Drosophila melanogaster: one gene and its partner. The protein of the gene in region 1 purifies or fractionates together with the protein of each later gene. This does not show direct contact. Each region holds a gene or a part of one and is shown on either strand. Other genes may lie near its edges.

Region 1 (6,869 bases):
TCATTTCAGGCCATTTCACAGCATTGGTGTTGGTGTTGTATATTTTCCACCAAAATTTTTTTTTTAAATTATGTACCCATATTCGTTTGAGAGATAACCATGGATGATACGCCTCCCGCCGTTTCAGTGGGCGTTAAATTTCTCAAGCGTTAAGCCTAGAACGGTTCTACCAGCTCATTAAGCCGCAGCCAAGGGCCATAAATGGATTTGGGTCCGGCATTTGAGCCACTATATCTGTTGTGGTAACGAAGATATATACATGTATATTTTTCGTTAACCAGCAAAAGAAAATACAGGCAGCAAGCCAAAAGGCCAGCGTGCACAGTTCAAGGCGATGAAATGGAAAATAAAAGTGGAAATTCGGACGCAAAACAAACTTTTGGGCCCACTTTGAATTAGCTGGACCCAAAGAGCGGCCAAAGGTCAGAGCACCAGACCCACGGCGATGGCAAAACAAACAAAACAAAAAAAAAACCAGACCCTGTGGCCTGTGAAAATGTTGCCCTCTGACTGCAGTTGCTGTATTAGGGAATATTTGGTTATACACGAAGATATCTGGCTGGATTTACACAGAAAGTTGGTAAAGGGGTTTGCGAAATACATGTAATACTTGAATCGGTAATTAGGTCGATAAATTATTTGAGTAGTTTACATTTTATTGGAATTTTCTAAGTATGCATATATAACATATTTTCAGTTATAACATCACCAAACTGGCTTTCTATTAGTTCTGTTTGCTCTAAGATTTATTTAATCTGCCACAAATCTTTAGCAATCTGAACTGTAGTTTTCCAATACTAACAAGAAATACTAACTGTTCTAGCAATTCGAACGTTATGTTGACCATCGTTTTCGTGAACTATCTGCCCAACTTGAGATTCTGCTTCCTACGGATGTTCCTCAGACGCGATATATCCACGTTCATACATCCACAAGCTCGTTGGTGCGGGAAAAACGATTCTTGAATCGATAATTAGGCAAACGAACAATAAATCTTGACCGGGTTGTCGACTGGCTGATTTGCTATTTTCGGTTTTAGTTTTTAGCGATCTGCCAATGACGTCAGGCCACCACAACTAACACACACACACACACACTTAATTGTGACTGCAATTTGGCCATTTTTGTAATTGCTTCCGGTCAAATCGATTTGTTGCTTTGTAAAAGGGAATCAATGGAAGCCACCGCAACAAAAAAAAAAAAGAAAAAAACGTAAAAATATGGCAGAGAAGCTTCTGACTTCGGATTGTCTGTGTGCCGCTTAAGGCGATGCCAAAGCCGATGCCTCCTCTTTTGTGACAGGCTTACTTGGGCCAAAATCGATGGGTGGGGAGGGGGTAGGGGGTGGTGGTAGTCACGCCCAACCATGAGTCACCAATTGAAAAATCTCGCTTGATTTCGGGGGAGCTGGAGTTTGGAGTCGCAGCATTGGCAAACTTTGACAATTCCTAATGCAATCGCAATGCCTTTTACTTGACCCAAAAGCAACAGCAGCAAAGCACTGGAAAAAATCGAGCTTTCAGATGAATAGTTTTTTGAATGCATTAAACTTGTCTAGCAATTCGTTCTAGGCTGGATAACAGGGTCACACTGCTCAGGCTGTGTGACCAAGCGACAATGAAAAGCATTGCTTAAGAAGTTTGGTTCATATTGATACCTTTTTTTGTTTGCAATCAAAGAATTTTGATATGAATCACTTGTTTTTCGTGTGCTAATCCAGTTCCTTATATTTTTTTTTTCGTGTGCTGCGACAGCAACTTCTTATGTGAAGGCTTTGAGCTGTGCGATCTGAGCAGCAACAACAAAGTTGTTGCCGAGCCCACAAGTCACGCACTGGTCAACCAACGACGAATAGGTATCCAAAACAACTAGTCCCAGCCAATCCCCCAATAGCCCCTACTGCCCAACCAAAAGTCCCCTTTTCCCACCGGCATTTGTTGTAGTTGCATTTAATTCACGCCTTTTGGCCATACAAAGACATTGAATTGTGGCTGCTGTCCAAAAAACGCAACACACAGGCCAAAAAGAGGTTTTCCTCTTTAGAAGAGCGTAAAAAAAATCTTAAATAGTTCACCCACAACAACCACAACGGACAAACAAGTTGAGCACGTATAAAAACAACAATAAACAACCAGGCAACAAAACTCTTTTTTCAAAAAGGCAGCCACACATAACTGGCAACTAACAGGCGACAACAACAATAACAACAACAACAAGAACAACAGCCACAATAATAATAATAGCAAACTGATATAACAACAACAACTGCATTAGTTGTGGGTGTTAGTGAAAACCACCGCCCGCAGCCCACACTTCATTCCAACCCCTTTGAAGCTTCAATGCACTGGAAAAAACTTGGGCAATGCTATTAAAAGTATTGTTGTGGCTATGAGATTTGCTAGTTAAATGAATATGAAATCATTTGGGCTTTTGAATTTCTTCTAACAAAAGAAAAGTATTAAATGAATAATATTTTCTGGTATAAATATTGATGTAATTGGAAAGTATACTGATTACATAACTTTAAAATATGATAACTCTTAATAATTTACTAAAGTACTAAGCTCAGAGCGTATGAATTGAACAAATATATTCAAGAGTGCCATCCCTTTTCTCGCTGTGTGGTGGCCAACACTTTGTGTGCAGGCTTTGATTTGTTGCTATATGTGAGTGTTTCTCAGGCCTTGTTGTTATATTGCCTGATCTCTCGGACTTTGGGGGCCTCTTAATGGTGGGAAAATATTTCCATGGCCCGCTGCCAAGTGGTGGCGATGCCGGTGGTGGTAGGGGTGCGGGGAATATTGGGTTTAGGTTTGACAAACTGGCAATATTGCACCAATAGTAGAACTAATTCGTTGGGCCAACATTGCGTATGAGCGATGGGCCATGTGGGTTGAGTGATGCAACACGCAAAGATCAACAAAATGGCAACAAAATAGAAGTACAAACTAAATTGTTTGTTGTTTGCCAAATATGCAGCCGAACAACAACAACAACAACAACAAATGTCACGACAACGAATAGAGCGGCAAAACGAAGCGCAAAACACACGAAACGAACGACGAAGAGTGAGTGCAAAAAAAAAAGCAAAAAGGCAAAAAAGCCCGAGTTAATGATTAATTTTTTGCACGTATACGCCACTTGGGCCACGAGATCTGGCAACGGGAATGGGTCGCATAAAAATAAATATCCAATTCTACAATTCTGCACAGCACAAAAAAACATACATATACATATTTATGTAAGTATAGTGCATATGTTTTGAACGACGAACAATGCTCATCGCGAGAAATTCCACGCATATGCAGATAAGTTGTTGAGCTAAATCTATTTGTTGGCCCAGTTTTCTTAATTGTTCGCGGCTTTTCGCCTCAAGCTAGTGTTCACTATTTACTATGGTCTTGAAATTCCACGTTTACATAAATATTTTTCTATTCTCACTGCCTTACTGTTGTATCAAGATCAAAATTGCGCGTATAACATTTGCATACATTTAGATATAAGCATGTACAGCATCAATATCACTGGGAACATAAATCTGCATAGTGACGAAGCGCACCAGTGAAATGTGCGCATGTCCAACTACAACTACCGATTCAATGAGGATATGGTCTATCCTTTATACATACATCTTACTGACAAAATGCAAATGCAAGTATTTTGTTGAGTGTAGACCACGAGAACTTTCAAATATCGAAATGCACCTTACATTTTCTGGGCATATCTATGCAAATATTCAGCCAAATACCTTTCGAATGCCTGCTATCACGATCCAAGAACAAGTTCTTGGATGCACATTTTTTTTTCCGTGTGTACTTGCCTCCCGCTCACCCTTCGCTGCACCTCTCACTCTCTCTTTCGCGATCGCTGGCTATTTTTATCTCTTGCACTGTCACACTTTGCACTTTGCCTTCGCCATTCAGGCAATTAGCGCAAAAAAAACGCACGAACAATAAAACCAAATAAATACAAAAAAAAAAAAAATACAAAATAAAAAATCAAGTGCAACGCGACAATCAACAAACAAAACAAATCGCAATTAAATTTAGATCAATTCCATTCGAGGGGTTTTCAATTTAAGCGGCTGTGTTAAATGAAGCGCCAACGAAATGGAAATTGAAACCGAAACGGAAAACGATCGTGCCGAAAAAAAAAACCGAATAAGCTGGAAAAACTTTGCGCTGAGCAGCTGGAAAACGGAAAATGGAAAATGGAAAATCCGAATGAGCGCGCGATCGCGAGCGGCGTGTTCGATGGCGCGTCTGCGACTGCTGGCCGTCGGTAACTGCACCGTTAGTTTGTTACACCTGAGCTGAAAAACTTTATTATTTTTTGTTCGTTGTATTTTTGCCTCTGCCGACGTCGACGCTGGCAGCCATTCATTGTTTTTGCCCGCTCGTCGAGAGCTTTACCTGAGCCACCTTACGCGATTAACGTGGCCCGAATGTGAGTACACTTCGAGCCAACAGGGGAGTACAGCTGCGGTCGAAATAATAGGGCCATGTGGTACTTTGAACACTTAATGACATGAAAATTACCAAAATAACAGAATATCTCGAAAAAGATGTCTTAATTTATGCTGTGAGAAAGAAATGTCTTAGTTTATTAAATTTTCAAATTAAAAATGAGTCTTGCACGCATTTAAACGTGATTTCATTCTGTTTTCAAAATATATTTTTTAAATATTACAAATTTATCATGTTTTCATATATATTATTATATATTATATTATTATTATTTTTTGACATTAAGAAGCTATATAAAAAGGAAACATGTAGAACTTGTTAACGCAGAAATGTTAAAGAGATTGAAAGAGATCGAATAAATCGTTTTTTCTCATGCTTAGTAATTCTGAAGAAAGATGGTTCAATTCTCTGTCAAAAGTACGCAGATACCACTATTTTTTTGACCACAACTGTAAGCAATGGTATTGTAAGTAACTGCGATGGGTTAGGGGGCAGTGGGTGGTTTTAAGGGGTCCGTCTAGCACTCACCAGTTCGTTTTGTTCGTCTTTGGCGCCAGCTTTTGATTTGATGGTCTTGCTTAAAGCCATAGCCGCTGCAGATTAGTCAGATTTGTTTCATAAATATAGAGTCGAATGTACTACGGATTACTTTTCTCTTACAGTTTTCTTTAACTTTGCTGATTGTAACCTTAGCCTTTTCTCGATTTCTGTTTGAAATAAGAAAATGAGGTTTTTGTAAATTATTTAATGACATTTTCACATAAACATATTTTTAATTTATTTATTCAATAATAATTATTCAGCATTTTTAATTAGCATTTCCACTAGAACTTTTTAAACATTATGTTTTAGCTTTTGATATTTAGATTCACCGGTTGCCGTCTTAGCTTAGCTGAGTTTCAAACCACATTCCCGTTTAAATGCGAGCTGAAAAGTATGCTTCATGAATTAATTCTTTTCTCAACGGGCGTTCACAACAAATTCCGAGAGATGGAGCCACTCGATAGTGCATTAACATGATAATTAATATTATTTATCAAAAGATTCATCAAGTATAATTTTAAGTTACTTCTTTCACAAATATTCCCAGTTGCCTGAGTTAACTTCACATTTCAACACTGTTTTCTTAAAAGCTTAAAATCGTTTTAATTATATCTTGAATTCATTTTAATTTGGATAGATTGTGCCGCCTGCAAAGTTTTATTTTTGAAGCGTCTATTTAACAGATCGATCACCCCATCAATTGTGCAATTCAACCGATAAAATGGTGTTAACTGATTTACCATTGAACCTGGGCTTTTTATTTACTCGTGAATAACTCTTATAGTAGCAATGATTGCGGCTGAGTTTCGTTTGCCTATTAAGGAAATTTAATGATTGGAAATCTACAGAAAAAAATCCCCATTTCCATGCTAAATCAAAGGATCAATTATATTGTTGTCGTCCCCTTGACTCGGATTTTGTGTTCTCCACTTCTCCGATCTTTGGCATCGTTCGATCATTTGGATAATTGCTGCCTTCGAACAACTTTGAACTGACGGAGCGGCCCACTCGCAGTTTTGCCGCATAGTTTCGAACGCATTTGGTCAAAATGAGTTTTAATTTTCGTTTTTGGCCAAAGCCAAAGTCAAATCCAAATCATTTCGAACGCCTTCGCCGGGCGACCCGCCCCCGCCTGTTAATGAAACTCAAGCGTTCTCGAAACAAACAAAAAAAAAAACAAGAAACTAAAACAGAAACATACAGGCTTAAACACAATATTACTGTTGACACACAAACGGGGTTTGAAGTCAACAAATTTACAAAATCGGAGGATTTTACGATGCTCGACGTCAAGGCGATATAAAAATAAAAATATGTATATGTGCAGAGAGAAAAATACTTTCGGTTGAATATTAAAAAAATTTTTAATTTGATAGATTTACTCTCTCCAATTAAACAGCTTTATATAATGCATACGATATTATTTTCAAGAGCTTAATCGGAAGAGTTGAAATAGCCGAATAAGCTTGCTTATACCTTTTTTCCCCAGTGTAGATCTTCGATTCGATTTGCATATGTACATTTTACATATGGATATAGTCATGTCTGTGTATTTGGACATATATCAAATATTGATAGCTGCTCAAAATGACGAAACGATCGAGTTATTTGCGCGACTTTACTTAACTCATTCTTGATGCTGTTTTCTTTCTTTCTTCGACCCACACAAAGCGAGTATCTGCCATACATTATATACATATATGTATATTTTATAGAACCGTGATCTGTCTGGGGTTGACTGTATGTATTTGTTGTGCGGCATACAAAAAGTGGAACTTGTCGGTTTGTCGTACCTGTAACCACAGTGCAGCATTCCTAACGCGATCCTCGCCTTGAATGAACGAACTCGATTCGATTTCA
Region 2 (6,824 bases), on another chromosome or scaffold:
GGGCTGCACGCCCAGCCGGGCGCCCGCGTCCACCGCCTTCCGAATGTTGTTCTCGTAGTGGAAGGGATCGGTGCTGAGCTTTTCCGGTGCGGGCGCCGAGCCACCCAGTCCCTTAATAATTTCGCACATAACGCGTCCATCGTTCCAGTCGGTCTGCGAAATGAAAGTGCCATTATGGGATACGATTATTATTGGTTGGAAAAATACGAGAATTAATAAGTATTTATGTTCTTTTTAATGCAATTGTTGCAGATGTACATTAACATTTGTTCAACGGATTAAAAGGTCATATTTAAATGCGGTGAAAAAGCGTGTTTTATTGTAGAGCCATAAGGATTTATTAAAAAAGAAGGCTGCTTTATAACTGATATGTGATTATGGATATTAACATACCGTAAAGTTCTTCACAGGGTCCTTGACCTGCGTATTCACCCATCGCATGGTGGCATTGTAACCAGGACCACCGGGCTTCATGAAGTACGAGAGGTACGTCATGCCGGACAGCTCATCCAACCAGGGCGAGGCGAGGTACTCCGGTTCCAGAACCTTGGGCACTCCAAACTCGCGCTGAGCCAAGTCCATGGCCTGGGTGCAGTTGCGCACACTCTGGCTGGGATCGAGACTTCGCCAGTGCGGGAACAAGCCCGGCTGGCAGTAGTCCAGGAGCGCCGCCAAATTGACGCCACTATTCCAATCGGTGGTCAGATTGGTGATCCTGCAGTCCGGCAGAGCGGCCTGCAGCCAGGCCAGCATCAGTTTGCGCGGCGGGAACTTGCTCCTTCCGATCTGGTAGCGCACGATAAGGGACCAGATCAAGCCCAGGATCAGCTTTATGTTCCCATTCACAATGTCCACGTTGCCGATGTTCACCAGCTTGATGTGATCCGCCTCGATGGACTTCAGCGCCGTGGTGGCGTTCTCCAAATAATGATGCTGGTTGGCGGGTCGGCGATTCCACGAGGGTTTCAGTGGACGCGTCTGCAGATTCTCCACAAGGGCGCACAGACAAGTGCCATCGCAGAAATCGGTGGCCCAGTCATGAACCTGAGAGACAATGGGAATTTGCATTAACTTCTCCGTATCATTAGAAATAGTAATGGGAAAGTTTGTGGCAAATAATTAGATTACTGCTGGAATACATTCCGTTTAGCAACGCAAGTAATGTGGCAAGTAAGAGATGGGAGTGCATTCCATAATAGGTTTATTATTATAATTGCATTTAATATGATATTAGCTTTTTACGGTCTAATGGATTTGCAAAATGTACTTTTATTAAGTGGGTAGTTTTTACTTTTCCATTCTATATAGATTTAATTTTAAAAAGCATGCTAACCCAAAACAAAAAAATGTTCGAAAGAAGAGATTTTTTATCTTTATTTAATGACTCTAGCAGCATTTTCTTTATAGCTATGCATTAGTTGAGATTACTAGACTTGCTGTAGTACATATGTACATAGTTCCCAATGGAGATTAGCAAATGTGCGAAACGCCTACCATGTCTGCGCAAATGCAAGAAGGTCGCTTGACTGGCAGCCTTCCTAATGAGCAATCAACGCCCCTTCCGCAAACTGGTGGCCCACTTTGCAAGGTAAACCGCTTGCTCGGAACTTGGAGCATGGAGCTCAGATCTCGGAACATGGCACATGGAGCTCAAGAATGGGCTTGGGAACCCAACAGGTTCGCTGCTCCGAACTGAGCGGCTTTCTCCGCCCGGGTGCAACCAATTGTGCGCGATTTTAAGCATTTGACATAAAGCTTTTTATCTGGCTGCTGTCGGCATTCGATTCGACTGGGGGGAACTCCACTCCACTCCACTCAACTCAACTCAACAAATAAAATACGACAAAAAACTGGAGAACTGGGTACGGAGACAATCGCGTGTCTGTTGCTGTTTGTTTGTGCCTAGGAAAATATTCATTGGATGCCATAAAAATCTCACATCGCACATATGTAGTTGCTCCATGGCTCTCTAACAAGCTGCCGCAGGTTGTTATTTGTCGCTGCTGTTATTCCGCCCTTAAATTTTTAAGATTCCTCTGATTTTACGATATGAACTCGAGTTTCGTTGGGAGTTGCGTTTTCACCTAACAAAATATATATGTACTTTTATTTGCATATAAATTTTTGCTATATGTCAGAAAATGTCTAGTCATTCTATTACGACAGTTCCATGGTGGCAATCATTTTGAGATAATTTAATTCTACCTGCCGCAACTGTTGTTGCACTGCATTAAAACGTTAAGGTCATACAATGCAGTCACTTTGAATATTTCTCTCCGTGTATCTGCTCCCATCAAAGCATTTCCCTTTTGTTTGCACATGCATTTGTCATACAAAGTGGATTGCAATATTATTTGTCGCATACGCATGAACTAGAATTGTAAACAGCGTAAAAAACGCAAACTTGGATGACTCGTTTTGGTTTGGTGACCCAAATAGACGCCAGCCAGGTCACAATTAGCGCTGTTTACTAAGGGGTCTTCAGCCTTGCTCATCACATATGTACACATACACGTATGTATGTACGTTTTTGGCCCAACCGAAAAAGTAAAAAAAAAAAAATAAAACCCCGAATTTTATACTCGAAACCGGGCAAGATCGCGCACAAAAGCTTTAGCTTGTTTTGTGTATTGTAACTGCTAATGGGAACTCGATGCGTTGGCCTTGGCATTCAACCGGCCAAATATGGTCGGTTCAGGTCGTTTCAGTGCGGTGCGTGTGAGAAAATCCGTCGAAGCGAGTGACAGTTCAAAAGTCCCTGGACAAATGAAATGCATTGTTGGCAGTACACATAAGTCCGTGTGAGTACTCTTGGCATCATTGTTAATGTAATTGTCGTTGCTGCCATTGGAGTTCAAGATCTGCGTGGGCGATTGAGCCGAGTTTTATGAGCCCGGCCTTTTAGGGAAACTCGCGGAAGAGCTCGAAGCCCCAGTTTATGATGGCGATTTATACTTTTACGTGTTCTGTCACCAGTCAATGCGCTCGTTATGCGATTATATTTAGCTTAAATGGGATCAGTATATGAACTTCAAAAACCTTGCTTTTAAAGTGCTTCTTAATTGCGATTTATAATAATCGAAAATTTTATTTGTATAGAGTTCAATTAAAAAGTGTTCATTATTTCACATATTCATATTTTGTTTTCTATCCCTAATTACACTTCATTAAGCAGTGCCACTTTTTCTATGTGCAACTGCCTTCGCAAATCATTTCCTGGCTAAAATTCCAGATCTAAACGTTTTGTATTTCACTCATCGATTCTCAGGCCCTGCTTCATCAATAGTTCTACGAATTCCACATTCAACGGAGCTAGCCCATTGATTGGGTAATTGTTTTTTGCGCTTGATCGATCAGATATTCAGTCGGCGGCAGGCATTACTCAGTCGGTTAGAAAGTGTTGCATAATCGGAATGTAAATATATCTACAATATATCTATGGCTTAACTCACCTGCATTCCCGTTTCACGCAAATGCTCGTTGACCCAGTTGCGGAATGTGTTCGCCTGGATCTCTACCCAGAGGTCCTCGTTGCCCCGTATGTTCATACCCTTGGCGGCGGTGCCCTCGGGACTCCGGGCCACCAGACCGGCATGGGTGATCTTCTGCGTTTCGGTGGTTCCATCGGAGTTGTGCTTGAGCAGCCCCGCATGCGTCACCTTGGCGCCTTTTATGTCCTTGACGTCCATCTTCACTGCACGTCACTGCACTTCACCTGCGACTCGCACATATGTATGTACAGATGTAACTCGCGTTCGAAACACTGATCGGGAGAAATGGATAGATCGCGATGAGATACTTCTGATCGCTGTAAGTTGTAGCTATGCTATTCAGTTTCGGTTTCAGTATCAGTTTTAGTTTCGTTTGCACGCGCTCGCGGCCCGAAGCGAACTGGAACTGCGCTTAGCTGGTCGATCTGGGCGGCTCTGCTCTCTTGGCCTGGCCAAAACAAACGATGACGTCATGGCCAAAGCTCAAAGCTCCAGAGAGCAGCAGGAGAATTTATAAAAAAAAATGCGGGGGGTTTCGCCAGCGAATGTGTGTGTGCGAATATCTCTGAATCTGGCTATAAAGCAAAACTGGTTTCGTCGCTTCCAAGCCAAAACGAAGCGAGCGAAAAGGAAAATTGAATACAAAAATAACAAAAAGGCGAAAATAATACAAAAAAAAAGAGTCTGTAAAATAACAGAAATCACTTAGTTTGGAATTTCGCCGCGGCAACAGCAGGCAAAAAGCGAGCAGATCTGGTGGGCAGTACTGTGGATGCCAGTGGTTGTCGTGAATGTGGCTGTTTGGGCAAGTCTTTCACAAACGTTAGAAGGCCAACATGTGTGTAAACGTGGGAGCCACCCCAGAAGATAATGGACGTAATCACAGCAATGAAATCTGCCACGATCAATTGTCAATTGTTCGCCCGTTTTCACTTGTCGCACTTTTACCCAAACAATTTGTGCAAACCGAAAGTTGGCCGTCTGAATGGCCTTTTTGGCATTTTTCCACACGGCGTTGCGAAGACAACGAGGCGTCAAATGACCGTCTAACCAACTTAATTATAGGAAATCCGGTTGCGTTTCTAAACAAGTCAATTGCCACAGATCGCATATATCATAGCACGTCCAGTTCTGAGCGAGGCTGGTATGCAGATTTTGAATACGAATACGAATACTATTTATTGACAAACACTTTTCGGAGAGGTAAACAACTCTGGGATGACATCACTCATCACTTGCTCGGCACAGCGATGAGTTGTGGCTTGAGCACTTTTTTAACGCCCCGACAGGAGAATACAGTGCGAGAAAATCATGCTGACTAATATTACAAAAGACAGTTGACGTAGCTAATCTAGTAACTCTTCAATGGAATTCCTCTTAAAACATCAATTAACTACTTAAATACACCGCTTTGCCGCAAACTAATTTGTACCTTAATTTATTTTAAGCAGAGATGTCATTGTTGTGTTTTTGTCTCAGTGACAAAACTGCGTGGCTTGGATGAAATAAATTAACCAGCGGGGACAGCAAAAAGTGGAAATTAATGAATTGCTCCTCGGACTTATGAGTGATCCCGTGGCTGATGTCATTTACTGACACTTGACATTGGCAATGAACCTAATTAGTTGCACTCGCCAGCGGAGTGGAATGAGCCCCACTACTCGGCGAGTTCTATAGATTCAGCTGGCGGCAAGGTCATGGGAATGGTCATGATAATGGTATTGGTGGTGCTATTGGCCAAGGGGAATGGGAATGGTAATGGTAATGGGAATGACCAATCCGCTTCTTAGTTTACTCAGTTGGTCAGCAGGTAAATATCGAAAGTGTTGTCGTGACTTTAAATGGCAGAAGAGGGCCAGCTAGCACACCTAGTTTAGGGCATTACGTAATGGCCGAAATTTTCGACTTTGAATGGGCAAAAGTGTACGTATCGTAGGCTACAAATCGGTGTATCTATATCACAGAATGCGATGTGCACGTAGGTGTCTGGCATTTTTTACACTTTTCGATTTGTTTGCTGTCCGAATATACATTCGTATATACTTATTTCGCTTTTTGCCTTGCAAACCCACACGGCCAGCCAAATCTCGTAGTCGTCGTCATCGGGACAGCCACCCACATGGTTGGTTGGTTCAACGCCTCGTTCTAGACGTGGGTGCGATTTCAAGTTTGATTTGTGCCAAAACCGTGTACCAAATGGCCATTGATTTCTCAATGATTCTGTAGTGGCTGCCTAGCTACAACTCTGTTTGGATCCGAGCTGTGGGAATATATTTGGTTAGATGTTCTATGACAACGTCATTAACTTTGAAATATATGAGATTAACTGGAGTGGAGGTGAAGCCCATAATTATGTTGATGGATGGTTACGGAATTTACTACGAAAGGCTGTTCTAGAGATGAACCTCGAAAAATAAATGATGATTGAGTTATTTCATCAATTAGGTTTCTTAAACCCTTTTTTTTTTCAATATTCGATTTCTATTATAATAGTAACAGGCAGACTTAACTTTACTACTCAGTTGGACACAAGCCAATTGTTGCTTGGATTCCCTGCCAAAAGAATATAATACGATTTAAAAGTTTAATACTACATTGGCATCCTTTCCAAGATTATTATAAGTAGATTCAGTGCTATTTCCTTTTTAGACTAGGGGTGGGCTGTTTGTTTTGTCTGTTGGTATTACATATTCGACTTCCTGTTGGCCAAATGCGATTGTAACACTTGCCACGCCTTACAGTTAAATGATGGCCTATTAGCGCACGCTTCTATAGCGAGTAAGCGCTTATTTTTGGCATCATTTTTATGGCGGTTCGTCATAAATAGAAAACACTCCAAACGATGTGCTCACACATACGCACAGACATACATATGTACATATGTGTTCCCTGCTCTTTTTGAGGCACTGCCAAGTTTGTGTCTTCAGTCTTTTGATTAATGCCGTTAGGCGTCGCCAAAGCGCAGCCAAGCCAAACCTTCTTGGTTCGTATGAATGATTGTGTGTGTGTGTTCTTTTGTTTTTTAATTTTTGCTCATTACTCTGCCTCGTTTATTCGCCTAAAAGCCGCAGCAATTACAATTGAAAATGCCTTTTAGCCAGCACTTAAAACCAATCGAACAGCGCCAGCGGAAAAACCAGATTCAGATTCAGACGCGAGCCCAGACTCGGGCTCAGATTCAGATTCGCTTTCGGTTTTGGCTTTAGTTAAAGTTTTGTTTTTGTTTTCGCTTCCCCTCGCATTCGCCTATTATGCAATGGGCTAGGCGGCCAGATATCTGAATCTGAATATCTTATAACTGCGACTTTTGGTGTTTATGCTGGCGGCCAAGTC

Evidence for each region.
Region 2: the proteins of chas (region 1) and jbug purify together in Drosophila melanogaster (affinity purification with western blotting, with the first as the bait; one study listed by BioGRID). This does not show direct contact.

What each region holds. Positions count from the first base shown.
Region 1 is NC_004354.4:17,690,442-17,697,310, forward strand, and holds the start of chas (chascon), read right to left. Parts: upstream 3,947-6,869; 5' UTR 3,821-3,946; intron 1-3,820.
Region 2 is NT_033778.4:22,733,153-22,739,976, forward strand, and holds the start of jbug (jitterbug), read right to left. Parts: upstream 3,894-6,824; 5' UTR 3,690-3,893; coding exon 3,453-3,689; intron 1,045-3,452; coding exon 394-1,044; intron 154-393; coding exon 1-153.